7 linked regions of the Rattus norvegicus genome follow. The protein of the gene in region 4 interacts with the protein of the main gene of each other region in a biochemical or structural test. Links are inferred from orthologs where the notes say so. Each region holds a gene or a part of one and is shown on either strand. Other genes may lie near its edges.

The links.
Region 1: the proteins of Lrrk1 (region 4) and Cwc15 form a complex in vitro, tested with the Homo sapiens proteins (2 studies listed by BioGRID and IntAct, with this or other methods). The link is inferred for Rattus norvegicus from reciprocal best matches to the Homo sapiens genes LRRK1 and CWC15.
Region 2: the proteins of Lrrk1 (region 4) and Cd2bp2 form a complex in vitro, tested with the Homo sapiens proteins (2 studies listed by BioGRID and IntAct, with this or other methods). The link is inferred for Rattus norvegicus from reciprocal best matches to the Homo sapiens genes LRRK1 and CD2BP2.
Region 3: the proteins of Lrrk1 (region 4) and Plk1 form a complex in vitro, tested with the Homo sapiens proteins (2 studies listed by BioGRID, with this or other methods). The link is inferred for Rattus norvegicus from reciprocal best matches to the Homo sapiens genes LRRK1 and PLK1.
Region 5: the proteins of Lrrk1 (region 4) and Nudt16l1 form a complex in vitro, tested with the Homo sapiens proteins (2 studies listed by BioGRID and IntAct, with this or other methods). The link is inferred for Rattus norvegicus from reciprocal best matches to the Homo sapiens genes LRRK1 and NUDT16L1.
Region 6: the proteins of Lrrk1 (region 4) and Stub1 form a complex in vitro, tested with the Homo sapiens proteins (2 studies listed by BioGRID and IntAct, with this or other methods). The link is inferred for Rattus norvegicus from reciprocal best matches to the Homo sapiens genes LRRK1 and STUB1.
Region 7: the proteins of Lrrk1 (region 4) and Matk form a complex in vitro, tested with the Homo sapiens proteins (2 studies listed by BioGRID and IntAct, with this or other methods). The link is inferred for Rattus norvegicus from reciprocal best matches to the Homo sapiens genes LRRK1 and MATK.

Annotation. Positions count from the first base shown.
Region 1 is NC_086026.1:19,585,718-19,589,715, reverse strand, and holds the start of Cwc15 (spliceosome-associated protein CWC15 homolog), read right to left. Parts: upstream 2,801-3,998; 5' UTR 2,679-2,800; exon of another isoform or gene 2,510-2,678; intron 1,469-2,509; exon of another isoform or gene 1,464-1,468; 5' UTR 1,461-1,463; coding exon 1,330-1,460; intron 827-1,329; coding exon 714-826; intron 181-713; coding exon 92-180; intron 1-91. UniProt on the Homo sapiens protein: Involved in pre-mRNA splicing as component of the spliceosome. Component of the PRP19-CDC5L complex that forms an integral part of the spliceosome and is required for activating pre-mRNA splicing.
Region 2 is NC_086019.1:191,241,092-191,245,252, forward strand, and holds the start of Cd2bp2 (CD2 antigen cytoplasmic tail-binding protein 2), read right to left. Parts: upstream 2,801-4,161; 5' UTR 2,789-2,800; exon of another isoform or gene 2,775-2,788; intron 2,742-2,774; exon of another isoform or gene 2,703-2,741; intron 2,309-2,702; exon of another isoform or gene 2,303-2,308; 5' UTR 2,280-2,302; coding exon 2,202-2,279; intron 2,001-2,201; exon of another isoform or gene 1,999-2,000; coding exon 1,866-1,998; intron 1,744-1,865; coding exon 1,586-1,743; intron 1,481-1,585; coding exon 1,045-1,480; intron 971-1,044; coding exon 864-970; coding exon of another isoform or gene 789-863; coding exon 678-788; 3' UTR 1-677. UniProt on the Homo sapiens protein: Involved in pre-mRNA splicing as component of the U5 snRNP complex that is involved in spliceosome assembly.
Region 3 is NC_086019.1:186,146,366-186,150,457, reverse strand, and holds the start of Plk1 (serine/threonine-protein kinase PLK1), read right to left. Parts: upstream 2,801-4,092; 5' UTR 2,717-2,800; coding exon 2,309-2,716; intron 1,761-2,308; coding exon 1,592-1,760; intron 847-1,591; coding exon 702-846; intron 61-701; coding exon 1-60. UniProt on the Homo sapiens protein: Serine/threonine-protein kinase that performs several important functions throughout M phase of the cell cycle, including the regulation of centrosome maturation and spindle assembly, the removal of cohesins from chromosome arms, the inactivation of anaphase-promoting complex/cyclosome (APC/C) inhibitors, and the regulation of mitotic exit and cytokinesis.
Region 4 is NC_086019.1:129,264,631-129,268,130, forward strand, and holds part of Lrrk1 (leucine-rich repeat serine/threonine-protein kinase 1), read right to left. Parts: intron 3,133-3,500; coding exon of another isoform or gene 3,080-3,132; exon of another isoform or gene 2,989-3,079; intron 2,972-2,988; coding exon 2,694-2,971; intron 1,615-2,693; coding exon 1,420-1,614; coding exon of another isoform or gene 1,358-1,419; intron 577-1,357; coding exon 425-576; exon of another isoform or gene 1-424.
Region 5 is NC_086028.1:11,142,126-11,146,042, forward strand, and holds Nudt16l1 (tudor-interacting repair regulator protein), read right to left. Parts: upstream 2,418-3,917; 5' UTR 2,405-2,417; coding exon 2,252-2,404; exon of another isoform or gene 2,171-2,251; coding exon 1,910-2,170; exon of another isoform or gene 1,338-1,909; coding exon 1,116-1,337; 3' UTR 501-1,115; downstream 1-500. UniProt on the Homo sapiens protein: Key regulator of TP53BP1 required to stabilize TP53BP1 and regulate its recruitment to chromatin.
Region 6 is NC_086028.1:15,354,778-15,359,032, forward strand, and holds Stub1 (E3 ubiquitin-protein ligase CHIP), read right to left. Parts: upstream 2,783-4,255; 5' UTR 2,680-2,782; coding exon 2,518-2,679; intron 2,097-2,517; coding exon 1,898-2,096; intron 1,815-1,897; coding exon 1,649-1,814; intron 1,616-1,648; exon of another isoform or gene 1,484-1,615; coding exon 1,396-1,483; exon of another isoform or gene 1,213-1,395; coding exon 1,156-1,212; exon of another isoform or gene 1,070-1,155; coding exon 953-1,069; exon of another isoform or gene 875-952; coding exon 749-874; 3' UTR 501-748; downstream 1-500. Other genes in the region: Jmjd8 (jmjC domain-containing protein 8), read left to right, coding at 16-83, 163-297, 376-456. UniProt on the Homo sapiens protein: E3 ubiquitin-protein ligase which targets misfolded chaperone substrates towards proteasomal degradation.
Region 7 is NC_086025.1:9,109,947-9,114,246, forward strand, and holds the start of Matk (megakaryocyte-associated tyrosine-protein kinase), read right to left. Parts: upstream 2,801-4,300; 5' UTR 2,750-2,800; intron 2,713-2,749; exon of another isoform or gene 2,424-2,712; intron 2,245-2,423; 5' UTR 2,194-2,244; coding exon 2,185-2,193; intron 1,636-2,184; coding exon 1,522-1,635; intron 1,427-1,521; coding exon 1,311-1,426; intron 1,225-1,310; coding exon 1,005-1,224; intron 745-1,004; coding exon 651-744; intron 1-650.

The sequences.
Region 1 (3,998 bases), on a different chromosome or scaffold from region 4:
GGCAGAGGCCCACAGTTCCAGCACTGAGGCGGCTTGAAACAAGCAAACAAATAAACACAAGCTAACCCAAACCCAAACCTAAAACACGTACATCTGTGAGAGGATCGTCAGCATCAAGGTTGGCAGCAGGAATCTGGTCTAAGCGGGGCTTCTTGGACACCGAAGAGGAAGTTGTGTGTTCTGAAGAAAACAAACATTTAGCATATTGAAGTACATACTGGATTTTAAGTAACATTTTAGAAACCTTTGGGCAAAAAGAATCCACACAAAGCACAGTGACAGCAGGGACCCACCCTGTGACGGGCAAGTAAGTCTCTGATAAATACTTGTTGGTTAACATGGGGTGAATTAGTGAGCACGCAGATCACAGCGTCTCAGGAGACTAGCCAATGCTCACATGTGGTAGAAACATAAAAAGGGTAACTGATGCTTCTCTCAAAACTCATCAATTACATGGGGAGTCCCAGACAGAAGGCCTCGGGCGGGTTCCAGCTGCTGTAAAGTCAAAGTCTACTGACAGGAACTGAAAAATGGTTTTAAACACTTCAGGTCACCATGTCTTCAGTACCAATGCATGACAAGATGGGACTGGAATAAACCTCATTATTGTCTCTTATCAAAGAGGTATAGCTCACAACAATGTTAATTGTTTCCAATCACCAGGAAACAGTTTGCATCACATAACTATGTGACACACGAGGGACAGCAGATACCTCGGGTTGGACGGTCCCTATTTTTCTCCCTTGCAGCAGCTCTCTCCCTCTCTTCCAACTCTCTCCTGAAGTCACGGTTGCGAACCTCTTCAGGGGCATCCTGTGTGGTTTGTCTTAAGTAGAAAAACAAAACAAGCCAAAACAGGTCAAAAATGTTGCCCCCAGTTGTCAAGGAAAAGAACCTATATGGCTATAGCAACTTGAGACAATTCAGAATGTAAGTGTCAATCAAGAACAAAACGGAAGAGGACAATATCCCAATCAGAGTGCTATTAATACACTCGTGGGGTTCCGTATCACACAACTTCCTACAGCAGGACGTCTCTTGAAAACAGTCCTCCACTCAGGGCTGTTACAGCAACTCCCATACTCACTCAGAAGACTGAGCTGGTTATCATGACTAGTGAGGGCTTCATCCACACCAGCAATCCCTGCTCAATAGGAACTTATGCTGAAAGACCGTAGAGCACTTTACAACTACAGCAAATAATTGTATTGTAAACTTTTTGAAAGCCTTTTCTTGGAAGATCGGTAACTTAAATACTATTAATTTAGACATGATCATAAGTCATGGTTGGTTCCATTCTGTGAACAGGACAAATGAAAGGCTTCTTACCTGTACTTTATCTTTGTATGAGAGGGAAGGTCTCTGCTTGAATACTGCTTGGAGAGCTGGCTCAAATCACCTTCTCCTTTTCCTCTCCCACCTCTTGCAGGTTCAAAAGTTGGCCTGGCTGCTGTTGTCATCTTCTATTCTTTGACAAACATGGGTTTAATTATACTTTCATTTTATAGATCATTCATAATTACCTGTCCTTAAATCATTCTCAAAACTCTCCCCAGAACTGCTTAAGTAGTTTGCTTCAGTACAAGTCTCTAAAGAGCAGAATCATGAAATTCAGGGTGTTTACTAGATATGCACTGCCAGGCAGCTCTTATTTGATATAAATAACTACTCTGAAGGTCTGAGTCTGTGCTTCTGTTTTAGCTGGGTAGCCCTGCGCAAGTCTCCTAGCTTGATTCTATCACTTGTGGAATGTTGATACTTCTATAGAATTATTATGAGATTTCTGACACGTGATGTCAGATCTTGGACAACAGTGTAGTGTGGCTTTTAAAATAAATGACTTAAATTTTTTTTTTATATCCCACTAGCACTAGGTTCTCTGAGATTTTGTTTTATTTATTTTTTATGATAGGATCTCACAATGTATTTCTGGCTGAATTAGAATTCACAATGCAGATCAAGCTGGCCTAGGACTCTCCAGAGATCTACCAGACTGCCTCTGCACTGCTGGAATTGTCCGGCCAAGATTTGCATTTTTATCAGAAACCTCACACTACAGCAAATGGACCAATAAAAAACAAATTTCTTTTAAAGTTACAGGCAAACTTATTGAGTGTCTTAGAGTTTGTTTAAAACCCAATGACATTTACACTGGCAACATTACCCCAGAATCTTGTTGATTCAATTTCCCTCTAAAGCAGTTACCGCAACATTCGTAAAGCTTTGGTAGGCTGTAACTTAACGCAATCCTAAGAAAATCGGAACTCCACTCAACCAAACATCAAGAACTGGGCATGACTGGGTACTACTCCTGTGATTCCAGAGCTTGGGGGGTGAGAGCAATAGAATCGGGAGTTCCAAGCTAGCCTAGGCTACCAGAGAACCTTTTGCAATTTTTAGCTGTCAAATAAGAATTCCAGCCTAACTACAGGGCTACTAAATCTCCGTTAGCTTAAGCAGCATGCTCAGACAGACCGTGTGGGACGTGGGAGTTTCTACCCCATCCTACCCTCCTTTGCTTTTCTCAGTGTCAGCGGTGCCGCGCCGGTGACCGCCCCGAGCTCGGCTGCAGCTCCCGACCGCCATTCCAGCACCGCGGCCCGGACGATAGTCACGGCTCTCCGACTCCCCGGTGCGGCCCGCACAGGGACCACAAACCACTATGCCCTGCTACTCACTGTGGCGGGGGTTCGACGCAGTGCCTTCAGAAGCTCACTCACGAACCATTGCGACCCTTAACTCCCAGAAATCTCTGCGCAAAACCGGAAGCAAAATGCAGAACTTCCAGTCTCTACACCTGGGACTCAACTAAGACCCGGAAGCAAAATCTTCGCGCTCCCAACGGCTGTGTAGAAGACGCGAACTCCACACCCGGAAGCAAATCCCGAGTTGGTTTTTTTTTTTTTTTTTTTTTTTTTTTTTTTTTTTTAACCGTCTTTTAGAGGCTGACCCAGTGACCAATCCGCAGAGACACGGGAAAAAGATGGAGTGACGTCGCCTAGGGGCGGAGCCAAGGCTGCTTAGGGGGCGGGCGTTTGAAACCGGTGCTTCATAGTCGACCCCAAATATCATCTTGTGCCTTTGAGAACCAATTACTTAATCTCTCTTGCGTCTTTTCCTTTCCCGACCCCCTCCCAGACTCTTTCGCTGCGGTTCTGCGAGGACGGAAGGCGCCAGGAGCCGGTCCGCGTCTCGCAAGCGTTGAGATCTGAGGAGAGCTTGCCAACTGACCGACCCAACGGCTCCTGCTCCTCAGTAGACCCCGCAGCCTAGGGACTAGAGTTGTCACTTAAGTGGATATGAAGAAGGCGCAAATAAGTACGGGGGCAGCCACGAGCTTTCCAAAGGTACCATTCCTGCGAAACCACTGGCCTTGAAGGCAGGGGTTATAGTCGCATTGCTTGTTAAGATATATAAATATATATATATATATACATAGCTATATGCATTAAGCGTTGTAGTGTGAGAGGAGATGCCGTGAGCGTTTACGATAGTGAGAATTTATGGAACAGTGGGCCTAACTGCCAGGAGGAGCACGAGATGGGTAAGATGGCTTCGCCAACGTTGTCTTGGTGTCCATCATTGAGATTTTGGGGACGGCCAATGCTCGATAAAGAGAATTCTGTTCTCCAGTTTATCTCAAGTGGAAGGATCTCCTAAAACTGAACATTTCAGTTCTTCCCTGACCTTCCTTTGGAACTTTTAAATGAAGAAAGAGAATTATAAAAGAACCCCCCCCCAATGTGCCTCCCCTGAAAGTAGAAGGTGAAAAGCTTCGTTTCTTTCTTTTTTTTTTTTTTTTTTTAATTTATGGAAGGTGTGCACCTCTCTCAGCCTCACACAAAGGACGCTGCTATCATATTAGTGGCTCCAACCCAAAGCTGGAGACCCTCTACCTTCCCTCATCACATCCTGTTCACTTGCCATGCTTGCCCAGTATTGTGAAAATTACCCTGAGCTTCCCTTCCCTGTTACTAACCCTCAATTCAGGCCACTGG
Region 2 (4,161 bases), about 62 Mb from region 4:
GCTTATGCCAAGAAAGGTCAGGGAATAGGTGAATGGGCCACCTCTCTAGTTTACTGTGAGGTCTCCAGTAAGTCCCTGCCCTTTGCCCCTCGCTGTATCACATGGTGGCCCAAGTAACCTTGAAGTGCTACCAAGTTCATACTTCACCTAAGAGCTATGGAAACTACTGCAGGAGGGTGAGGGGTAGTAAAACCAGACTAGGGAGAAGGGGAGAATCCATGTTTAAGAGGATCTCCCAATAGGATTTCAAAGTCTTCCTAATGTCCCAGCTACAAAGGAGCTGCCAGGGCAGAGAATGTGAGGTCCTAAAAGCCAAGATCAGCATGACAGAGAACAGAGTGATAGAGGGAATTTTACACAGGACACCTGATGGGCCCTCCCTCTGCCTCCAAGGTGGGAAACAAAACGGAGGTGGTCCAAGACACCAGAGAAGCATGAGAGGAAGTCTCTTGGGAGGAAACTCAAGGACCCACCAGGTGAAGCCAAAAGGAGCTATGGAGAAGCCTTGGCTTTTGGCCATTAGCCCAGTCAAGGCCCTGATGCATACTCAAGGCTTTTATTGACAAAGAGACACTGGCTTTAGAGTGGCCTCCAATATCCTCACTGCCCAGGGCAGTTGGGACCTCCTCTGCCAAGTTCAAGAAAGAAGGGGCTGCCAAACGGGGCCCTTAGCGGGCTCATGTGTAGAGATCAAAATCAATGCGCTTGGAATTGTAGAACTGACCGCCTGGAGGGTCCAGCTTCCGGCAATAAACACCATCCGGGAAGTAACCTTCGCTCACCCAGGTCTGTAAGAACAGAGGACAAAACTGAGGCAAGATGACAGAAGCTGGGGTGGACAGCCAGGGCGGGAAGGGGCTTACCTGCATCTGGGCACTGGTAAAGGGTCCGTACAGCTCAGCATCCCCCGTGTTCTCCCATTTATACTCCCACATCACATCCATCAGACCATCTCCAGCTGAATCTGCTTCTAAAACAATGAAGAAACTTGGGCCTCAAGCACCCGGTCTCCTGCCCACACTGCCCCTCTTGTGCCCTTCTTACCTTCTCTATGGGTAGGGGTTGGAGTTTCCAGTTCCCCCTCTGTTACTTCCTCAGCAAACATGTCCAGGGAGGGTGGAGGTGTGGGGTCATGGGATCCCTGGGTCCGACACCCCAAACCCTTCAGTCGCATAGCCAAACGCTCCCTTGTTTCCTGGTATACACCAAGGTTGCCTCGAGCCACCATTTGATCAGCCAACCCAGATAGCCGGTCTAGACGCTGGGGAGAATTGGGCCGTCCAGTCCCCTTGCTGTTCCCTTTGCCTCCTCCTCGGGCCCCCAGACGCCTAAGTGCCCCAGCCACTGTCTCTCTTGGCAGTAACAACTCCAGAAGTCCCTCCAGGAGGGCTTGGACACTCATTGGAGTCTGACCCAGGCTGCCTTCCTCCTCTGAGTCCGAAACCTGCTGCTTATCAGGTGGCCGTTCCTTGATCCTCACCTATAAGTGAAAGATAGTTATCGTTTCTTACAAACTCCACCAGGACCCAGGCCCAGCACCAGCATTCCCAGGCTGAGCTCAGCCAGGACAGATCCTGGGCCACACCCAGTCAATGTTGTCCAGCCAGCTGTCTCGGATCTGCGAATCCTGGTTCAGGAAATAGTTGCCATCTGCATCAAAGTGGCCTTCCTCCATCTCCTCCTGCAGGTTGAAGGGTGTGATCCTCACACCCCCCTCACTAGGGAGAGTAGCTGCTTCCTGACCTGCACCAAAGACATGGGGGGCCCCATGCTAGACATGCAAAAAAGAAACAGGCAGTACACCTCCCACCTCCCTACTTAAAACCTGTCCCTCCAACACAGTTAATGCTTTGGAAATAGCTCACCTTCGACATCCTCTGAGGCCAGGATATCGTATTTGCTGGACCCCTCGTCATCATCCTCTTCATCACTGTCTAAAGAGTGTTTGCCTTTGAAGCGGCTCCCAGGACCACCTGCTCCAGCCACAGGGTCCACCAGCTATGAGTAGGACGAAGTAAATGAGAAAGGAAGACTGGCTAGTTCCTCGAATATTCCAGGATCTGTACATAAACTCGAATCCTTCCAAACCCAGTGACTGGGAAAAACTAACCCTTCCTTGGCTTCCAGCTTTTCTCCCGTTGGACTGCTCCCTCTCCTTTCCCCTTAGGCCTCCATAGAACTTAGAGATCTGGCCATCTCACCTTCTTTTTGGGAACACTGATTTCATCTTCATCATCCTCATCTCCAACACCCTGAAAAGTCACTTTCCTCTTTGGCATGATTGGCAATAGATTTCCTCCAGCTGGACCTCGGGAAAAGATAGGAAGTGAGGAAATTAAGTAACAAGAGAGGGCCGCGAGAGTGTACAGGCTCCACAAAGATTTTTCCTGGTAAATTTGAGAGAGGACCGATCACTAAACCATCTGAAAGAACTAGCAGGTACGACGTCCGGAATTGATTTGGCAATGCAGGGGCCCAAAAGGGAGAACATGTGAAGGATCTCCGCCCCCGCGTGGACCCTGTGGGTACTCCCACCTAGGTGTGTGGGAGGGTAGGGAGCAGGTTCCCCCCACGTCATCACTTCCCTACCAGTCCGAAGCTACAGAGCTCAACCACCTCTCCCACCCGAGTGCCCTCAGAGGCCGGTCGGACGCAAGAGCTGGCGCCTTAGTAGCCTCGGAACCCGAATTCCACATAGCGACCTGCTCGGCCATGTCCAACTCGGCGTAGAAGCTAGAAGCGAGGCAAAGCCGCAGGGATTCAAACAATCTTACCCGCTGACGCTCACCTAGGAATCCAGGGTCAGACGGGAAAGAAAAGGAAAGATGCTTTCGCCGGTATTACATCCGGGGCATCCGCCTCCATCACCCGGAAAAAGACTGTGAAGACTGCCATAGGACCCGGAAGTGGCTTCACTTCTATCCAAAAGACTGGCAGAACGGGCGGATGTATCCCTTTAGCCAAGGCCGACTCTCCGCAGGAAGTAACGTAAGACCTGCAAAGACTCGCGTGAACTCCGTACTTGCCTCACGGGATTTGAAGATGGCGGGAAATGTTTTATTATTCCTCTGCAATGGAGGAGACGGTGAAGACGTGGCGTTCTGTTTGCTAAAAGAGGTTCCCAAGGCCCGGTTGGAGGGACACAGACCGAACAGGGGCCTTGGGTTTCAGTTTGCATTTATGGATAGGATTATGTACGCCTAATGGCATTCAGTAGAAACTCGGGTTTCCGAGTTTAACGCAATCCCAACACTCAGGAAATTGAAACAGGATTGTCGCGAGATTGATGCCAGTCTGCGATACAACATGAGACCATTTATTTTTTTTTAAATCTTTTTCTCCCTGAGTCCTGCTTCTGGTTGTAAGCACTCGGGCACTTTCCAAACCAAATCCTTTTAGAACCCAGGAAGTCATTTGCACCATGTCTATTCCCCCACTTAGTTCCTAGTTTCTGTAGTGGGACAGCCGTCGCAGGAGGTGGCGCTGGCATTGGTGCTGAGTAATTAGGCAGAAGCCCATGGTGCCCTGCTCTCAGGTGTAGGTCCCAAAAAAGCTCTTGAATTAGTTACAAGATGAAGCCTACCCCGACCCCTTAGCAAACTGTCAAGGTGCTGAAATTCAGCTCCTGCAAAGGTGGGACCAGTGAGATCTAACTTAATAGTGAGGTTTAGATCTGGAGCTCTGGGAAAAAACTCAAAACCTGAACACCTCTGCCCCACCCCCACCCTCAGGCTAGATAGCTCAGGTGATCCTACTAGAGCTGGAAGAGGGTGGCCAAACGGACACCACCTTTCTCCTCCAGGGTTTTCTCCCATTCTGAATCACTGTGAAACTTCATTGAAGGTGTGATCTTAGTTTCTTCTGTAGGTAAAAGAAACACAAGTCCTACACCAAGAGAGCATCTTGCTATAGACAGGACCCTGAAAAAACACCAGCTCTCAGCACTACTGGTTCATCTGGAAGGAATTTTCTCTTCTACCTGGAGACCACACCCTGATCCTCATCCTGAAGAAGATCTGCCAAGTGGAACTCTTGCTTTATGGCCACAAAAGCTTTATCAGAAGACTTTATCATCCTGACCCAGACTGGAGGGCAAAAAGCTTGCCACAGAAAACAAGAGCTGGACAATTTGGTTGTGTGCACCTGCTGGGATGAACCAAA
Region 3 (4,092 bases), about 57 Mb from region 4:
AGGTAGGTCTCTTTTAGGCATGAGGTCTCAAAAGGTGGCTTGCCCACCAGCAAGGTATACCTGGGGATACAAGGAGGAATTCTGTTCAAACTCCAAGGAAAATCCAAATGTAGAAGTCATTGTCTTGGGACCAGAGTTGGGGAAGCTGTGCTGGATTCACTGACTGGGAAAGGATGGGATGCTCTCCAAGTCTGCCCAGCAACCAAAGGCTGGGCAAGCACTAGGAAGAATGCAAGTGAAAACACCTGGATTCCGAGGTGTCAGGGATTGCCTGGCTCTGGCCTGCAGTGACAGAGGACTCTCCAAGGGTTCCAGAGGCCACCATGGTGGGGGTTCTGCTTACCACCAGACTATCTGCTGGCCTAACTCTCCCATCAGCACTCAGCAGGGCTTCCTGATTTTCATGGAAAATCAGGCAGGGATTGTATTAAACCCAGGTTCAGATCTCAGATTCTGAATTCCTAACAAGCTCTCAGGTGTTGATGATTTTGGTCTATGACTGCTTTTAAACAAGTCCAAGTTACAGGGATCCCCACAGCCTATGCCAGACTGACATGAAAACCAGGGTTTCATGTGGGGCAGCCTGTCCTCTAAAACAGCCTTTCTGTAAGGTAGAAAGATCCACTTGGTAAGGTCAACTGGGTGAGATGCCCCAGAGACTCCTGCTGAGGCCCAGAAGCCCAAGTTCATTGCCAACTTACATGATGCACCCAATGGACCACACGTCCACCTCAAAGCTGTGTCCCTTCTTGCTCAGCACCTCGGGAGCTATGTAGTTAGGAGTGCCACACAGGGTCTTCTTCCGTTCCCCTTCATATTCCACTTTTGTTGCCAGGCCAAAATCCCCTGGGACAGAGGGAAGAAGAGAGGGTGCTCAGCTACTTAGATCAGCTGTCTAAGGTTGCAAACAGCTGTTTCAAGCCTGAGCATTGACAACTTAGTGGCTTGAGACCCCCATAGTCCCGGAACACCCCCCCCCCCCCACACACACACACTGTACTGGCCCTAGCTGGCCTCCCACTGCCCTTTAACCCCTCTTTAGATAGCAGGGTTAAGGTTAGGTAACATGGCTCAGGAGGTAAAGGGGCTTGCCGCCAAGGCTGATGATGACCTGAGTCAGGATCCTGGAACCCACACAGTGGAAGAGAGAACGGACTCCTTGAAGTTAACCTGTCTCCATCCCTCATATAAATAAAGTTAAATGCACTGGAGAATCAAGTAAGTGATCTCGTGATTGCTGCTGAGCAAGTGTGTGAAGAAGTGACAGGGATCTAGGGACTGGCAAGTCAGACTCAAGGGGACAGCTGAGGAGATACCGCCTGCCATGCCCTATAGCTTATGTCCCCCATCTCCTGTTTAAAAAAGAAATTGGCTGAGGGTCTGGCTCAATGCTAGGGGATAAAGAGTATTTGGGGAGGCACCCCAAGTTCAAAACTACTGAGTTGAGGCACAGCAATGTATCTAAAAAAGGCAACACCCCCCTCCATTTCCTTTCCAGAGGGCAGCACTTCTCTTTCCCTCCTCCCAGCCTTCCCCTCCTTCCCGACTCTTGTGCTGGCTGGCACAGGCACCCGCAGGCCCAGCACCTCACCTATTTTCACCTCCAGATCCTCATTCAGAAAGAGGTTGCCCAGTTTGAGGTCCCTGTGAATGACTTGATTGCGGTGCAGGTACTGGCAACCCAGGACTATCTGCCGCAGGTAGTATCGGGCCTCGGGCTCGGTCAGCGCCTTCCTCCTTTTGTGCAGCTCCAGGAGAGACTGAGGAGGAAAGAGGTCACTGAGGCCCAAGTAGGGTGGCCAGCTTAATATGGCCAACTAGGCGCTCGGAGTGGAGAGTTTTGGCAGGTTTCTGATAGCTCTGCCCATAAACTCGTCACTATCATTCACCGGACCCTCTTAACTAGTGCCCTTATACAGAGTCTTCTCTCAACCCCACTCTCGATCCCCTATCCCAGGGCTTCCTCCTGGCAGGAGATCCCCTCCCTTTCCTGAAAGCTCTAAGGTCTGACTCCAAACAGCCGCCCCCTCCCCCGACCTTGCCTCACTCCGGAAGTTCGAGATCCTCGGCACCTCAAGCCTGGAACCCTTCCTTAGCCAATTTACGCATCCATTTCCTGTACCCACTCACAGCCTTGCGTCTAGGAGCCCCTTCACTAATAGCAACAGGATCCGGAGTGCCAAGTACCGTCGCTAGAAGCCTTTCCATAACAGCTTAAATAAAACCCAAACACTCCTCTAGGCCACTCCAAAACCTCGGTGCCACTTTGCCAGCAAGTTCCAGGTGTAGGAGCCCCAGAAACACTTACCCTCCTGCGACAGAGCTCCAAAACCACGAACACAAAGTCGCTGTCCTCAAAAAAGCCATGGAAGCCTACGACGTGCTGGTGTGCGAGGCTGCGGTGAATGGAGATCTCCATAGACATTTTCTCCTTCTGATGGGGCTTGAGCAGCAAAGACTTAGGCACGATCTTGCCTGCGAACACCTCTTTTGTGTCTGAGTCTGAGATTTCGAAGCATTTGGCGAAGCCTCCTTTACCCAGAAAGCGGCCCCGTACATACTGCCGCCGGCTGCGTGGATCCATCAGGACCTCCGGAATCTCTTTCGCCAGCGGGGCGGCCCCTGGGGCACCGGGAGCTGCGTCTCCCGGGACCCCACCTTTCCCTAGGTCGGCTGGTGCTCGAGCCAGCTTTCCAGCTTTGGCCGCTGCATTCATGATGCCGATGTTGCTCCACGGACCTGGCCGGGTAGGTGCAGAGGATCCTGCTCTGCTCCGCTCCTCCCCGAATTCAAACGCAGCGCTGGGAACGTTACAAGGGCCTGCGCGTTGCTGATTGGCCGCGGGGATTTAAAATACAAACCCGCCCAGCGCGCGGCACCATGGGAGTGCTCTACGGCGCAGCCGCCTTTAAACCCCGATCTTGCGGGCGAGAAATTTGTACTGGAGGATAGAGTGCACTCTAGATTGCCTGGGAAACCAGGAACGAATGAACTAGGTAGAGATCCCTAGGAGAACAGGATTCGGTCCTGCTTTCTGCTCCTCGGCCGGGGCGTGCTCATGTGGTTCACCTGCGCCTCCTCCAGAGGCTTCTCCTAACTATTAAGATCTAACACCTTCCTCCGCCCGACCTGGCCTTCTAGAACTGAAACTCCAGGTCAAGAGGTAGCTTGGGAGTGCACCGCCACCACTGGCACGACTAGCAGGCAGATGCACCTTCACAGCGCAACCGACCGGCAGCCTCTGTGGCAGTAGCTCTCAGCCCCTGAAATGTAGCTCAAGCCTTCGTCTGAACAACCCAGGGGCCAGTAGCATCTGCAGCACCTGGGAATTACCGAGGAAGGCAAAGGAGAGGCGTGGGTTCAAGACTACAGATTAGCCTAGGTCAGCTTCAGCTACCTCTCCGCTAACCCCAAAGGAAAGAAACTTTCCAGGCATGACCTGCCAGTCAAACAAGACTTTCAGATGATTCAGATGACATGTAAGAAACACCAGACGTCCGCCCTGGGATACAAGCTTGTCCTCAGCTGTGTGGCCCAAAGCCCCAAATAGAGACAACTTTTAGTCAGAGGTGGGGGTGGTGGTTAGACCCAAGTCGGCCCTGCAGAAGTGTTCAGTTCGGCCTTCATTTAGAAAATAAATGGATTTACAACATGTAAAAAGAGTGGCCACACAGAGCAGGTGTGTGGCTTTTCCTGGAAAAAAAAAAAAAAGTCAACTCTGGCCACTATTCCCAGACATCTTCTTTGCCCACTTGCCTGCTGGTTTCTGTGGGCACTTTAGTGATACCTTCCGTTAGAAGCTGTGTTCCTCTAGTTCCCCAGGAGGGTCTTAGCAAGATCCTATTGCTGGATTGAGCAAAAACGGCAGTGCTGCTGTCTTTCCCAGTGCCTTGCAAACGATTGTACTAAATGCTTTCTGAATAAGCCCAAGCTTTGTCTCCAAAAACTTAAACTTCCCAGGTGTGGGCACACACCTTTAGTCCCAGCCAGAAGTGCTATTACCATAAACAGGTAGCCAGTAGCAACAGCTTGGGATGGAGATGGGGCAGAATGTAGCATCCCTGTTATATAGATTCACTTCCCATGTGAAAG
Region 4 (3,500 bases):
GAATTGGAAATATGAATTTATTTCCCCTCTGTCCATGTCTACCCACTGACAACCTAAGATCATAAGATCCATGCAAACTTCAGAGTCCGTTCTGCTGACCCCACTCTATTCAAGTCTCACGCCATCTCAGTCTTCCCGGACTGTAAGGCCTGTAAATGCTCTCCACTGGGACCACCTAGACTACACTAACGTGCAAAGCTCTCCTGTCAGGGGAAGGAGGGGTAGCATGCGCTGGACAACCCCACAGGCCATCACCCAAGACCTCTATTCCATGGAGACTCCATCTCTGGCCTCTCTCCTTACCAGGCCCTGCCTCTGGGTCTCAGGAATTCTTTCCCCCTCCCAGGGGGTCTTCCCTACACTCTACAGCAGTTCCCAGTGACACCTGAGGCATACGTAGTGAAGTACAGACTGAAAAGATTACCTTGACTCCTCCTTCCCATCCCAGAACACCACAGTGTACTCCTGGCTCTGGGATGAGAAGAAGGACGACTGCTTCCCACAGGGCAGCATGTACATGAAGGTGGCGAAGGTTGGGTCTTTCATCTGGCTCACCACAGACAGGGCCAGGGGACGCTGTGGGAGAAAAGTCTATAGTGAGCACAGCTGTGTGGGTCCCCATACAGGGCCACCTGGCACAAGCCAGGGCAGTGTGTGACTCCTCCCACTTGGGGATTAGCCTAACACAAGACTGAAAAGGCTTCAGAACACCCTCCCCCACTCCAAAAATAAATAAATAAATAAATAAATAAATAAATAAATAAATAAATAAATAAAAGCCCGTCACAGCCTCTGGGTCATCATGGCCACAGTAATAAGCTCAGGTGCTCTGGAGTCAAAGGCCCGTTGTGTCCTACCTTAAGTCCAGGGACATAAACTCTTGAAAGGGATCTGTCTCAGATTCTATTCATAATGTATTAATTAATTATCTGATTTGATGGACAAGTGCTAAACTTGAAATTAGAGGCCTCTTCTAACAAACAAGGAACTCTCTTTGAAAATGTAATATAGGCCCAGCTTCTCGTGAGCAAACTTTCCAAAGAGATATGGTCCGTCCCTCTGACTTTACATGGGGACTGCATTACTACAATGCATTTAATATGCGAATTGAGCGAAACTCAAAACGTTCAGATCTCAGAGCATATTAGAGTTTGGATTTTTGGATTGGGTATATTCAACTAACATGGAAATATTCTAAAAATCTGAAAAACTCCAAAATTTGAAATACTTCTAGTCCTGCATATACATATTGTAGAGAAAAAGAAAGGTAACTTTCCTACAGACAGACGACAGGCAGGCATGCACGCATGCACGCACACACACACACACACACACACACACACACACACACACACACCTTGGAGTCCCACAGCCCCTACCAGGGGAAGGCAGGCCCACGTTCCGCTCTGCTCTGTGTACCTTCTCCGGCTTCGTGTCCCAGCACTCCATCATGAGCGCCTGCAGTCGATAGAATTGCACTTCCTCTGGCTGCCCCAGCACTGGGCGGATGCCCTTGGACAACTTCTTGACAATCTGAAGTTGGTGGTGGCCCAGCGCAGGACGCTGTCCTGAGAGCAGCTCATACAGCACCATGCCATAGGAGAACATGTCTACCTGGGCAGGAGGGCAAGCCAAGTTAGGTCTCCTGCCTGGGTTCAGCAACCTCAGAAAGCTGGCCCCGAGGAGGAGGAAGGAATGGGAAGGCACAACCAGGAAACACGGGCTCTCCCCAGTCCAATCTACCTACCCGATGTCCACACACCCACAGTCCTCTGACCGCCATCTTCCCATGCATTTATCTGTCCATTTATCCTTTCTTCTCTCTGTGTTACTTATGTATTCTCCCATCCATCCATTTGTCCATCCACACGACAGCCATACACACAGAAATTGTTAACTACCAGGTGCCAACTAAGGGCTCCGAAGCCAAGACCCCAGAGGGCTATATAAGAAATTCATTAAAAAGGGGGTGTCTCACGTGTTTTCTCATTCTAATTGTCATTAAAAAATCCAGCAAGGAGAGAGTTGTGCAGACCTCATGTAAGTCAGGGAACATCTTTCATAAGAGAATGTCTGAGATGGAGTGGGCAGGGTTTTGTTTTTGTTTTTTAAGATTTATTATGTACAGTGTTCTGTCTGTATATATGCTTGCATGCCAGAAGAGGGTGCCAGATCTTGTTACAGATGGTTAAGAGCCACCATGTGGTTGCTGGGATTTGAACTCAGGACCCCTGGAAGAGCACTCAGTGTTCTCAACTTCTGAGTCATCTCTCGGGCCTGGAGGCAGCAATTTTTAATGTGATTGTTTCTATCATAGCCTCTGTGTTCAGTGAACATGTTGCCCGGGTCTCCAAGCAAGCAATACGCATGCGCACACACACATGCACACACACATGCACATGCATGCACACACACACACACACAGATACACACACACACACACACACACACACACACATACACAAACTAAAATATACCTCTAAAGCTAAGGGCAGAGGTCAATCTGTTAACAAACAGGCAGACATGGACCCTGGTACCTTCTGGTCAGAGCTCGAATCCCCCTCACTGAGAGAGGAAAACACTCTGGAGAAGGTGAGCCCAGAGCCCCAGGACTGTGTGTCTGACTTCTCACTGGTCCTGCGCTCCTGCTCTGCATGGCTGGCTTGGGGGTGACAGTGGGGACAGGCAGATACCTTCTCGTCATACACAATGCGAGGCCTGATCTCTGGAGCCTGGTAGCCTGGGGTGCCCTCCACACCCAGGGCCCCCTCGTGAAAGGACTGCCTCGAGATGCCGTAGTCTGACAGTTTGATGTTGATGAGCTCCTTGACGCTCAGTGACCACACCAGGATGTTGTCTGACTTGAGGTCACAGAAGATGATGTTCTTCTTGTGCAGGTAGGCCAGGCCCGAGGCAATCTGGTAGGCTATTTTTTGGGTGAGCATGTGTCCCAGGGGCATAAAGGAAGAATCTTGGGAAGAAAGCAGTACTTATGTTCAAATCTATCAACTTTAAGATGGAATCAGATTAACATTCTAGACGCTGTCCTTCATTCTTCCCCTGCTTCCTTTACTTCAGCTTAGATGGGGTTGCTTGGTTGGCTTGTACGGCACCGTTGGGAGGCGATGGGACCTTTAAGAAGTGGGGACCTGTTTTATGTCAACTTGACACAAACTAGACAATTTGGAGGACAGAACCTAACCTGAGAAAATGAACCCCCTCCCCACTACCCTGTGGGCAAGCCTGTGGTACATTTTCTAGATTAATGATTGACGGGGGAGGGCCCAGCCCACTCTAGGCTGTTTCACCCCAGGCAGGTAGTCCTGGGTTGTATAGGAGAGCAGGCTGGGCAAGCCCACAAGGAGTGTTCCTCCACCGTCTCTGCATCAGTTCCTGTCTCTAGCTTCCTGCCTTGGCTTCCATAAGATGACGTATCACAAGCTGGAGGCTTCGTACTGCTTTGGTTATGGTGTTTTAGCAACAGAAGCCCTAACTAAGAC
Region 5 (3,917 bases), on a different chromosome or scaffold from region 4:
CAGACCAGGCAGGGCCGTATGGAGAGGCTAAGTCCTGCACATGTAGGGGCCACACTGAAGTCTGATTTTACAGTCGAAGTCTGGGGTGCCTAGAAAATGTACTCTTTGAAAATAAAATTAGACGCAAGTTGGTGGGAGCTCATTTCTGATCACATGACATATTCCTTACTGCCACCAAAAGATCTATCACCCTTGCTCTAGGGTTTCTCCTGTTTCTAAGCCCTAAAGTGGAGCTGGCACACATCCTTCCTTACCCAGTTGGTTTTGAGCTGTGGGGATTCTCCAGCCTTCCCAGTGTTTGTGCGCCAGGCTGTAGGACTGCTGCAGTGTCAGTCCTGTCCCATGGTGGCATGCTGTTGTCCCTCTGCATACTAGGTCTGTGCCTTCAGCTCCACCATCACCACTACATGAGCTCAGTTCAAGCTGCCACCCAGATTGATTTTGGTCCTGGGCCCAACCTTCCACCTCAGAAAGATGGCCATGCCACTCAGAAGCAGACATGAGCATCAGAGGAATGGCTTTATTGTCTTCTTTCTTCCTCAGTTTCACAGAGCCAAGTCAAAGCCCTCATGGGGAAAACAAAGCCATATGGGGCACAGCCATTCTGAAACCAACCCACAGTTCATACACCAAGGAAAAAAACCCAACAGAAATCCAACAACCACCCAAGCATCATCCTACCCCAAGCTGGACCGGGTTCTGGGCTAAGGGAAGGAAGGGCTGATCTAATATGGGTCCTCTCTACTGAACAAAACCCACAACCAGTCCAGGATCTGGGTACCATCCGAGTGGTTGCCTGGGAAGAATGGCTCTAGCTGGGGCTCCACCAGTCATGAACAGACTCACGGCACAGTTTGAGCCCTGGGATGGGTGAGAAGAACATCTTCAGCTTGAAAAGCTGGGCCCGGGCCCAGGCCCAGCCCACTGACCAACCTGAGAGAGGGTGGCTGGGTCCCAGGGACTGCTTGGGACAACAATGATGAACAGCTGCCTGCTTGTCCCTTGCAGTAGAAGGGATGCAAAACCAAACACACTAGAAGGCACGCTTCTCGGGAATTCCAGGGCCTGTGGGCAGAGACAGCCAAGGGAGGGCAGGGACCTGCACAGGAACCACCTCAGGATGAGGCCGGGAGCAGCTTCTCTAGGGCCTTCTTCTGCTTCTCCGTGGCTGAGGCCAAGGCCTCGGCCAGCTTTTCCGAGGGCATCATGTTGAGTACCTTAAGGGCAAATAGGAGCTGATATTTGGCAGTGCTGACGAAGGCGTTGCTCAGAAAGTTAGGGAAGCCTCCTACTCGATCCTTCTGTGTGTACAGTGGGACACGTACAAGGCCCAGGACCTGCGGGACAGAGGGCACGGGTGGGGCTGGGCTCTCCTGTAGAGGCAGGACTCTGGCAGAAAGGCCTGTCAGCCACCAGTTTGCCAGAGACAGGGAGACCCAGGCCCGGTCTGGCCAGGCATTGCTAATGCAGTAAAGCCCCTTCTCCCCAAGTTTCAAGGCCAATCCTACGCACTCCCCACCCTGTCTGGCTGCAACTCCCATGATCACTAGTTTCACTCTATGCCCTTTAGACCAGAGAATCCTCAAATCCCCAAATTTCCTCAGGAGGTAATCCTAAACGCTACAATCCGGTTTTTGTTTTGTTTGTTTTTTGTTTTGTCTGTTCTCAATTTTCCAAGCAGGCCCTGATCATCCCTTCCAGTGACCCCAAGCCCCACTCCCAGGATTGACAATGGCAGGCAACAAGGCAATGTAAACAGCCCATGACCCAGATCCCAAGTCCCTCTTCCCATCCAACAAAGCCAGGGTGAGGACCCTGAGGGGCACTTGTTACCCATTGGTGCCTTCTGTGGTGCCAGAGCCAAACCTCAGGAGTGGGAACGGGGGCGGGCCCCAGGCAGTAGTCCCACCTCCAAACCGTGGTCCCGCGAGTGCACAGCGCTGATCTCCACAGCATGCAGCTGTTCCAGCGTCAGCTGCCGTGCGTACAGGTGTGCCACCACACGGTGTGGACCCTCAGTCAGGTGTGAACTCAGGTAGTCAGCTTCAGTAAGGCGTAGGCCGCCCAGGCCCAGACCCAGGACCCGGTTCAAGCCATCCTCCAGTGACCAGAAGCGGCGGTCCACGAAACCCCCGGGAAAGCCCAGCAGCCCATCGAAGCGCATCTGCATCTGCAAGGTAAGCCTGGTCAGGACGCGGGGTCCACTGGGTGTCCCAAGCGATCCGCCCTGCTAGCCCGCCCGGCTCCTCACCAGTACTGAGAAACGCATGGGGATACGGCCGAAAAGTTGCCCGGGGTTGGCAGCGTACAGCATGGCGTGGCATGAATGGCTCCAGCCGGGCCCCAAGCGCATTGCTTCCTCCCGACTGATCTGCTTCAGCTCCGGAACCGTCGTGGTCGACATCTTGATGTGCTCCAGGCCCACTGCCCAAATGAGCATGCGCGACCCCGCCCACGACACATAGGCCCAATCCACGTGCTTCCACGTGCATAAGCCCGCCCCCACCAGCCCTGAGACTGGTGTTGAATCCAGCAAAGACTCGAGCTCTTGGTGGAGGCGGGGTGGGGGTGGGGTTATGTAGTTAGCTACTCTCCTTTACATAGGAGACCCCCCACGACTACCAGAAGACTACGGCTCCCAAGATGCACAGCACCGAGGCCAGGTTGTCCTAGGGAGGTACACTGATCATCAAGATGTGCCAGTCTCAAGTCCCAAACGTCATTGAGAGTGCAGCTGGAAATCTCAATATCCACCTCATCCATGATCTTTCCCTGAGGCTCGACCCGGAGCTTGTGACTCCACTGCCCTGTGAAATCATGCCTTTAAAGACTTAAGCATCTAAGTGACTCCAGCTCAAGTGATGGGTCCCCCTTGTCATAGGCTTTGCCCTCTGGTACATTGATTAGTACTCGGTAGACATCACAAGAGCTGGGGTGGGTATAAGAACTAGGACCATCTGCCCACCTGGAGGCTGAGATCCAGCAATTGCTCCGTGGAGGTGAGCCAAATTCTATGTCAGCTTCAGACAGAGCGAGCAACAAAACAAGCACAATGACCGTTGTCTGTGTGTGGAGGGGCTGCTCACTGCCCCTCTCACAGAAGCAAATGAAGGCAGCACCAAAACCTGTCAGCCAGTGTCCTGTCAGTACACCGAGAGCCAACAGTGCTGCCTACAGTGCTGTGGCAGAACAAAGGCGCACATAGAATATTGCTGCATGATTTTATTACTATAAATATACAGTAAAAATGAACCCAAACTAGCCAATCAGTACATCAAATGATAGTACATGTGAATCTGAGACAGGTAAGTGTGGAGTCTGCATCCCATCTTTCAAAGTACTGGCACCAGGCGCCAGGGTGTTGGCAGGTGAGAAGTGAGGGGTGGGCATGCACATGCTGACATGTGTGCACATATGTGCATTCAGAGAGAGAGAGAGAGAGAGAGAGAGAGAGAGAGAGAGAGAGAGAGAAAATACGGATGGATATGCAGACAGAACTGTGCTTACAGGCTTACCAGAGACCAGGCCAGTCACTGCTAGGAAGGAGCAGGGGGAGAGCCAGAGCTCAAGCAACCCTGAGCCTAAAGGGGTCTCCATGCATTGCTACAGGCTGTCACCTGGGTGAGTGGCAGGGCAGCTCCTTGGGCTGACTTCCCTCTCTAACTGACCAGGGAGCTGCATTGCCTGGGGCATCTCTGCCCTGGGGCCACCCTTGGGCTACTTCTGCCTTAGAAACCAAGTGACCCTAGGATCCTGTGACAGAAGCCTCAGACAATAAATCGGTAAGAAAGTAAAAGGACAGGTAACTGGCAATGGATGTGCTGTGGAAGCTGCTCAGGCTCGTCCCTGGCAGGTGGTGGGCAGTGTTGCCCTGCAAGCACAAGCATCTCCATCTTGGAGGCCTGTGAGGATGTGAG
Region 6 (4,255 bases), on a different chromosome or scaffold from region 4:
CAACTGACCCCACAGGAGCTGGATCTGGGGTACCCTTCCACTGGCATGGGCCTGGTTTCTCAGAGGTTATCTATGGTCGGAAGGTCAGTGCAAGGGTGGGGCATGAATTTGGTGTTTGTAGTCCATAGCACATGAGAGTGACCTTAACATTCCTGCCTCCAGCGCTGGTTCCTCTACCCTCCTGAGAAGACACCTGAGTTCCACCCTAACAAGACCACGTTGGCCTGGCTCCTGGAAATATACCCATCTCTAGCCCCATCAGCTCGGCCTCTAGAATGTACCATCCAGGCTGGTGAAGTCAGTAGCTGGTAGGTGGGGGTTGGGCTAACCCAAAAACTAGGGAATCAGACTATTTTTCCGTGCCCCTTCTCCCAGGCGCTGTACTTTCCTGATCGGTGGTGGCATGCCACACTCAATCTGGACACCAGTGTCTTCATATCCACTTTCCTTGGCTAGCCAACAAGCGACTGGCAAGCCCACTGCACCAGCACATGCCAATGTAGTGCTCACAGACTTTATTACAGGACAGTGGCAGCAGCAGCAGCAACCCACCCTCACCAGCTCTCCAGCCCAGAAGGGAGACAAGGGAGGCTCATGGCCCAGCAAGGGATATGCTGAGAAGGGGAGCAGTTCAGAACCCATCATCAGGACCGATGGGGGCAGGCCCAGGGACACAAACTATATACAGGGACTGGAGCTTCTGCCTCCAGACCCTCCTGGGCCAGGGTGCCAGGCAGGACATGGGGTATCAGTAGTCCTCTACCCAGCCATTCTCAGAGATGAAAGCATCAATGACTTCCTTCATGGCTAAGTTGGGGATGAGCTGTTCCTGGGTCAGAGGGCTCCGGGTCACAGGATCGAAATGGCCCACGCGCTGCAACGACAGAGTCAAGAGTATTCAATGGCCTGAGTGTCCCCTGATCCCAGTCCCGAGACCACAGGCCCTCCTTACCTGCAGGTGCTCCTCAATGTCCTTGCGGTCATAGGTGATGCCACTGGGTGTAATGCAGGGTTCCCGCATCAGCTCAAAGCTGATCTTGCCACACAAGTAGTCAGGGATATCTCGCTTCTGCAGCACAAGAGGGAAATGTCTGCAACTGGAAAGGAAGTCACCATACCAGAGCCTGCCCATGAGCTTCAAGGCTCCGTCCTTACCTTTCTTTTCTCATCCACCTGAGAGAAGAGCTCATTCATGTCCGCCATGTATTTATCCTGCAGAGTTGAGCGCCATGTGTGGGCAACTCCTGTCTCCTCCACACAGACACACACACTCTGTCCACCGGGGCACTCATGTCATGCATGGGCCAACAGAGCCACCATAGGCTGGGGCACTTCTCATGCCACACACAAAAACACACACACAACGACCCACATGTGGACTAGGGGCACCCTCACGTGCTTGGCCTCAATGCAGGCCTGCTGGGCCCTGATGTGGCCATCATCCTCATCACCCTCGTGGTTCCGCTGACACTCTTCCAGTTCCCTGAGGGTCAAGAAAAAGCCAGCTGGTGATGGCCCCAACAGGGAAATGACAGATCCCTTCCCATCTCAGGCCTCTTTCCTCCCGGGCTTCCCATGTACCGGCTGCTGTCCTTTAATAAACACTTGCACTGTTGACTCGGTGTTAACTGTTGGGGGCGGGACCCACCTCTCTCGCTCAGCAGCAATGAGCCTGGTGAGATAGGAGTGCAGCTCACTCTCCTGGTGGATGCGCCGTTCCTCGATACTGTTCCAGCGCTTCTTCTTAGCAATGCGAAGGGCACTAGGAATATCATCCCCAAAGTTGAGTCGCTGCTCCTTGGCCAAACTATAGGCTGGGGGAGTGGACACTTTAGGTTACACTTGTCAACAATCCTGGCCCCAAAGGTGCCCACAATCTGGCATCTTGTCAGCCCACCTCGCTGCAGATTGGCAATGGCCTCATCATAACTCTCCATCTCTAGCTGGCACTGCCCCAGGAAGAAGTGCGCCTTCACAGACTGCCCATCCAGCTCCAGGGCTCTCCGGCAGTCAGCAAGTGCCTGTTCAGGCTGCTGCATCTTCAGATAGCACAGGGCCCGGTTGGTGTAGTACACTGCCACAAGTGGGTTCCGGGTCTGGGAACCAAGATCAGGTGACAAAGAATGTGGGCTCATCTGATCCCCTCTCTAATAGCAAGCTGAAAGCCAATGATCCGGACAATTCTCCAGCATTGGGGGCCCATGGGTGGAAGAGAGGAACTGGAGATTTCCGAGTTATCAGAGCTCTGGATTCTAGCCATGCTCTCTTGCCTCCAACTGTTTTTGAGAAAAATCCCAGAACCCCTCCACCAGCTTTAGGCTTGGGAGCCTCAAGGGGCAAGAATTTCTGGTGTCATCCTTAGCTTGCCTCAATCAAGCATCCCGCCCGCCAGTCCCCAGTCAATCTGCCCTGGATTCGGGAACAGCAATCCGGGTCTAGGCTGCCAGAAATCGTCCGGGAATCACAGAACTGGGAGGCACATCGGGCCCCGCCCCCGCCCCCGCCCCCCGCACTCACGATGGCGCGGCCGTAGCAGGCCGCCGCCTCCGGGTACTTGCGGCCCACGAAGAGCCGGTTTCCCTGCTCCTTGAGCTCTTGCGCACTCGGGCTCTTATCAGGGCTGCCGCCGCCACCAGTGCCCAGCCGCGCGCCGCCCTCCTTTTCCTCCTTGCCCTTCATGGCGCCGCGCGGCACGGCTTGGGCTCCGCGCCCGGCCACCTAGATCTCGCAGCCCGCGCAGCTATCAGCTCCGCCCGGTCGGCGATCCGCCACCGGAACTTCCGGTGTGGGGCGGGGCTGGCATGGGGACACGTGAGCAAAGGCGGAGCCTCGCGGATTGAGCGGGTTCGCTTAGCCCGGAGAAGCTACCGCTGCGCTCTCTACCGGCCCCGCCCTACAGTAACTAGGACCTACCCTCAATATTCAGACCAAGGCTCCGCCCATTGGCAGTCAAGCCCCACCCTCCGGCCCACGCCACGCGAACGTGGCAGCGGTCCGTGCTGGAGAAGTGGCGCTCCGAGGGCCGGTCACTAGGCCCAGGTCCTAGCGCGCCACCGGGGCGCACGCGGGCTCATGCGGCAGCCTGGGAACGTCTAGACCGCTGGTAGGACGGCGGAATTGAGGGAAGGAGAGAGGCCCGCAGGTCAGACCACCCTCGAGAGGCTTCCTCGGGAATCGGGAGAAGCTGCCTGCGGCCATTACTGGCTGAGAAACAAGCACGTGACGCGTTGACTCGAAAGGACCTGCTGCGGTTGCTATAGAGGTAGCTGCGGGTCCGCGGCTGGACGCTCCCCTTCTGCGGTCATGGGGCGGAGCTTCTTCAAGGGCGGTGCCAGCAGGTTTCCGTGGAGAGAGCCTGCACCAAGACCCTTTGACCCCAGGTCTGTAGATGAGGCATTTTTAGCCGCTGCTGCATCAGCTGTTGGCCGCTAACATCCCCCACCCGGGACTTGGAGAAGCAAAACTCGGCTTTCTGCCGATCTGTGCGCCGCAGTCAAACTTCGCTGCGTGGTTTCTGCCACTGCCTCGAGTGAGTAGGGAGCATCTTTGCACAAGTTGGGTGGGGGCTCTAGGAACTCAAAAAAAAAATGTCCCCAGAACCTCCTTGTCACTCTTTGCAGTGGCTACAGTTCCTGGCTTGCTAACGCTGCAGCATACACTCAAGTACTACTTGCTGTTTCTAGCCCAGGTGCAAGAGCTCACTGCATTTCTGAGCAGGGGCCTGAGGGGTCACCCAGGACCCCATCATGGTTCCGATGGTTAGTAACTCGACCCCAGAACTCTTGTAGATCTCTAGTGCCTTAGAGCTGTCTGTAGACGCTTCATCTTGTGAAGAGAGCACTGCAAACTTGGACTATGGGCAGATGTATGCCCAGACCTGCTGCCTGAACTTCACCCCAACTGGTTCTCCCATAAGGACTATAGACCTGCCAAGAATTACAGGACCCAGGCCAAGTGAACCTGGCTCTGTCTCGGGCTTGCCTTTGGAAGGGAGGCTGCAAGAACCGGGATTGGAAGCTCTTGGAGCACAATAAACGACTGCTGAACTTGGACTGACCCGGAAGTCCACAGTCTCTTCCCAGGGGCCCCACCTCCTGTGGATTCCGTCCCTGGCCAGGAGTGAAGCCACCACCTCATGCAGGTGCAGAGCTTCAGGGGAGAGAGAGGAAGCACAGACCCTGGAGGGGGGGCGTCTCATACAGCCTGGGTGAGGGGGCAGACAAGCCTGCAGAGCCCCAGGACAGCTACCTGGTGC
Region 7 (4,300 bases), on a different chromosome or scaffold from region 4:
CAGCTTGCATTCAGTGAGACTTGGAGAGCTGACATCCATCCCCACAGCTGTGCACACCTGAGCATGTGCCTGCCCCAGCAGCTGCACTAAGGCTGTCTGAAGGACACCCCACTCCTGGTACCGTTTAAATCCTGCAAGCCAGAGCTGCCCTGGCTTCCATCAGAGTACAATCCCCCTAGGTCTCCTAGGTCCCCTAGACATGAGCCATGGCTCCAGGACCTCCCTCTGGGGACAAGAAGTGTGGCTGCCCTTGTGGCCTTCCATGCCTCTGGGAGGACCTTTTTTCCCCTTGCTGATCCACACAGAATAAAAGTTCTAGAATCTTCCAGGGCTGTAGTCTCCCTAATCTTGTACTCTGCACAGACCTGCAGTTGTCTCTGAAAGCCCTCCCTTTTTCCCTCCTTCCCTCCCTCTCAAAGACCTCTAGCCCCCACCCTGCCCCCACGCTGAAAATTCAAACGCGACAGACAGCTCTCTCCACTGTGATTTTTGTCTCTGGGACTCCAGACCCCACTGGAAAAGTGTGACAGGGTTGCAAGGTGCAAGGGCTTAACCAAGCCAGGGCTGGGGCATGAGGGTGGGAGTCCGGGAGGTGGGAGTCTCCCTGGTGTGCACGCAGAAGCTACCTATCGCAGGAGCAGTGCTCATACCCTTGGCGAGCTCTTCCTCTGCGGACTTTGCGCCCTGTTTCCTCTTGGGCTTCACCAGCTTGGTGCAGATGGCGCCCTTGTCCCTGGTGTAGTGCTGTGGAAGCCGGCGGCCATGAGCCTCTGGCTCTCAGATCCCATTTCCACTACCCCCAACCCAAACTCCATGAGGTTGGCAGACTCCCCTGAGTGCCAGGCTAAGGTGAGCACGTTCCCATGGCAACAGTGTGGGGTGTTAGAATGGAAGCTGAGGGCGCCCTGGGGAGGTGACCCCAGTTCTAAAGACAGAAATGACAGCTGCTGGGGCCCACCATCCACATTTCCACCCCTCCCGCCCCAGCCTCCCCCACAGGTCACCTCTACCATGTCCATCAGATTACAGAAACACACGGCCTCATCAATGGTGAGGTGCCCATCTCGATGCAAGACACGGTAGTGGATGACATCACGGCCGAAACTGACACACAGGACATAGTCACCAGGGTGACGGGCCGATTCCCTCACGAGGAACAGCCCATCCTCGGGTGGCTGCAGCTGCTGTATGGCTTCCTGACCGGAAATCTTGCCATGGAACCATCTGTGGGGATGTGTGGGGAGGGTGCTGTGTGAGGCCACCGTGGAAGGTGGCTGGGGCCTTCATGCCACCCCCAGGGTGTCACTCACGGCATGAGGCTGAGCTTGGGGTCTGTGGAAAGGGCCTCCCTCTGTCGCAGAGCAGCAGCCGCCAGCAGCCCTTCCTGCCCACTGCTGTGGTGCTTGGCTCGGTACCAGCTCTTGTCCTGCACAGGAAGGGGACAGGTGGAGGGAAGGAGCCAGTGGATGTCTGCCCTGGCGCCCCTAAGGCACACCACCTACCCTCCAGCCCCCCTCTCACCTCACAGGCCTCCAAGATGGTCACCATGTCACCCTTTCGAAAGGCTAGCTCACCGGGCTTGGGGCGTGAGTTCTCGCACTTGGTCATACATTGAGTCCCAGGGGCCCAGCGTTGCTGGGAAGGAGACAGAGGCGGGGGGTGGGGTGGGGATAGGGGGATGTCAGGGACCTACTGCGGGACAAGTGGGAAACCTGAGAGACCTGAAAAAAAGCTGGGGCTGGTGGGGACAGAAGACAGGACAAGGGAACAGTGAAGACACAAGCCTGTAGGAAGCTATCAAGTGGCTCAGGCAGGAGGAGTTCCAGACCAGCTAAAGGACAGCCTGGGCTACAGTGAGACTTGGTCTCAAAAACTAACGGAAGATGCCTGGCGTGGTGATGGACACTTGTAATCCTAGAATCAGGGTGGGTTGGGGGATGACAGGGCAGGGGTAAGTGAACCTCTGTGAGTTTGAGACTAGCCTGGGCTACGCATCAAATCCCAAGCACACCTACATACTGAGACCCTGTCTCAGAAGTCAAATAAGATAAAGGGAAGTCTGGGGAAGGAAGGGAGGGCGTAGGGAAACAGCCACAGAGGCCAGTATGGCGGGGTCCTTGGGGACTGTAGGGGGCATGTCCTATTCTCCCCAAAAGGTCCGGTGACTCAGGGCCCCACACTCACCGTTGGCATCTTAGCTGCAGCAGGCGTGGGGTGCCAAGCTCCTTAGAATTGAGGGTTCACCTGTGAAGGGAGGCAGTCTCATGCTGGGAGTGTCCCCAGGTCCAGTTCCTTCCTCAGGGTCTGGCCTGGCCTGGCGGAGGTAGCAGCCAGGAAGCAAAGTGCCTCCCTCAGATCACCGCTTGGATAGCTTAGGTGTGGAGCCCCTCTGCAGCCCTTGGCTTTAGGGAAGTGATCTTTACCCGAGGAAGATCCTTAGACTCCCGGCCACCAAAGGCCAGCCAGGAGACTCGGGAACCTCGCCCTGCCTTTGCTCGGGAAGGGAAACTGAGGTAGGAGTGGAGTGCTCTGGTGTCCCGAGTGGAAGCCAGGGCCGTGTGTGAGGAAGAGCTGGGCCTGTGGCTTCCTCTTTCCTGGGCTGTGGGCAGAGGCGGTGGGCAGGGGCCGTGACTCAAGGTCATTCTTGAAAATCTGACCCTGAGCGGAGCCTGGAGAGGCCGGATTCCTGTAAGGCTCCAGGCTCCTTAGGTCACCACGGGTCACTAAAGAAACATCTGAGAGGACCCACCCCATCCCAGTGCGGCACCGCAGGACTGTGGCTGCCTGGGTCCCTGGCTGGTGGCTGGCAGGGGGCAGGGCGGGAGGTTGGGGTGCGCTCCTGGCCTCGGGCTCAATGGGGTTTGCACGGCAGCCGCGCAGGCGGAGGCGCACGTGCATCCAGGCACAGGTGCCACCAGCCACCCCCGTGTGCGCCACACGGGCGCCAGCGAGACCCGTGCACCTGTGCGCGTGCCTCAGGCGCACAAGGGCTTTGCAGTGACCACCGGGGCTCGCGCACTCAGAGACGCGCACGCCGCACCCAGGAAAAACAAAATAAAACAAAAAAACCAGCCCGTTGCACCCGACGCTCCTGGGTCCAGGACCGTTTCGAAGTGGTGTCCCCTTTCCACCCACGCACACGCGCTCACCTGCTTAGGGCGCGACCCCTGGAGGGTCCCTGCCAGCCGGCCGAGCGCCCTGGTGGCTCAACTCCGAGCAACTTGCAAGGCTTCCTCATTTTGGGGCAAGGATGGAGGGGACCGGCTCGGAGCCCCTGCGGGTCCTAGCGCCGGCCTCTCTACGGCCGCGCTGCCACCTCCTCCCGCTCCTCCTCCCACTCCGTCCGGGCGGGGTGCTGCTGAGTGCCGGGTGCTCTCGGGTCCCCGCTGAGTCCTAGCCTTCCGTTGCCCACCCCGGGAAAGCTGGGAGCTTGGAACGGCTCGGGCACGCGCAGATGCTATGAGTAGGAAAGAGCTCCCTGTCTGGGGAGGCGAACAAGGCAGGCTGCAGCCTGGTCAGTCTGTACTTTCAGAAACATCAGCCAGTCTGCTGTGGAGCACTCCCAGCACTCGGGAAGCAGAGGCAGGAGGATCTCTGTGAGCTGGAGCCTAGCCTGGGCTACAATAGAGAGCTACCTAGTGAGACCTTGCCTCAAAAAAAAAAAATAAAGCAAATAAAACCTAACTAATTAATTAAGCACAAGTTTGGACAGAGGTGCCTGGCCCCGGTGGACATGACACTCCGAGAAGCCACACCAGAAGCTATAAGTCCCCAGGCAGGTACCACTTAGGAATCCTTGGCCAGGGAGGCCCAGAGACTTGGAGCAAGGCTGGCTGAAGTTCCACTTTTCACTACCCCTATTGCTGATGACAGTGTCTGAGTCACAGCCTCCCTCCCTGCTGCAGTCAGCCTACCGCAGTGCCCACCACCCACACTGCAGGGGCAGATGCCCCACTACAGGGGACAGTAGTGACCCAAGTGTTCTGCAGTGATCAGCTGCTGTCTGACTGGACCTGGCTCGCCTGTGAGACCTCCTGCTGTTGTCTTACCAGTGCACCTTGTGCACAAGTTTGTTCTACATGTACTACTACTATTTGCCTACAGTTAACAAAGATCCAAAAGTGGGGTCTGGGACGGGGACTCAGTGGGTGGCACACCGGTGTCACAGGCCTGTCATCTCAGCACTGGAGAGGTAGAAGCAGAAGGATCAGGAGTCATCCTCAGCAACATAGTCAATTTAAGGCCAGCCTGGGCTACCTGGGAGCCCGTTGGAAAGAAGAAGCTTGAGAAGCGGGTGTTG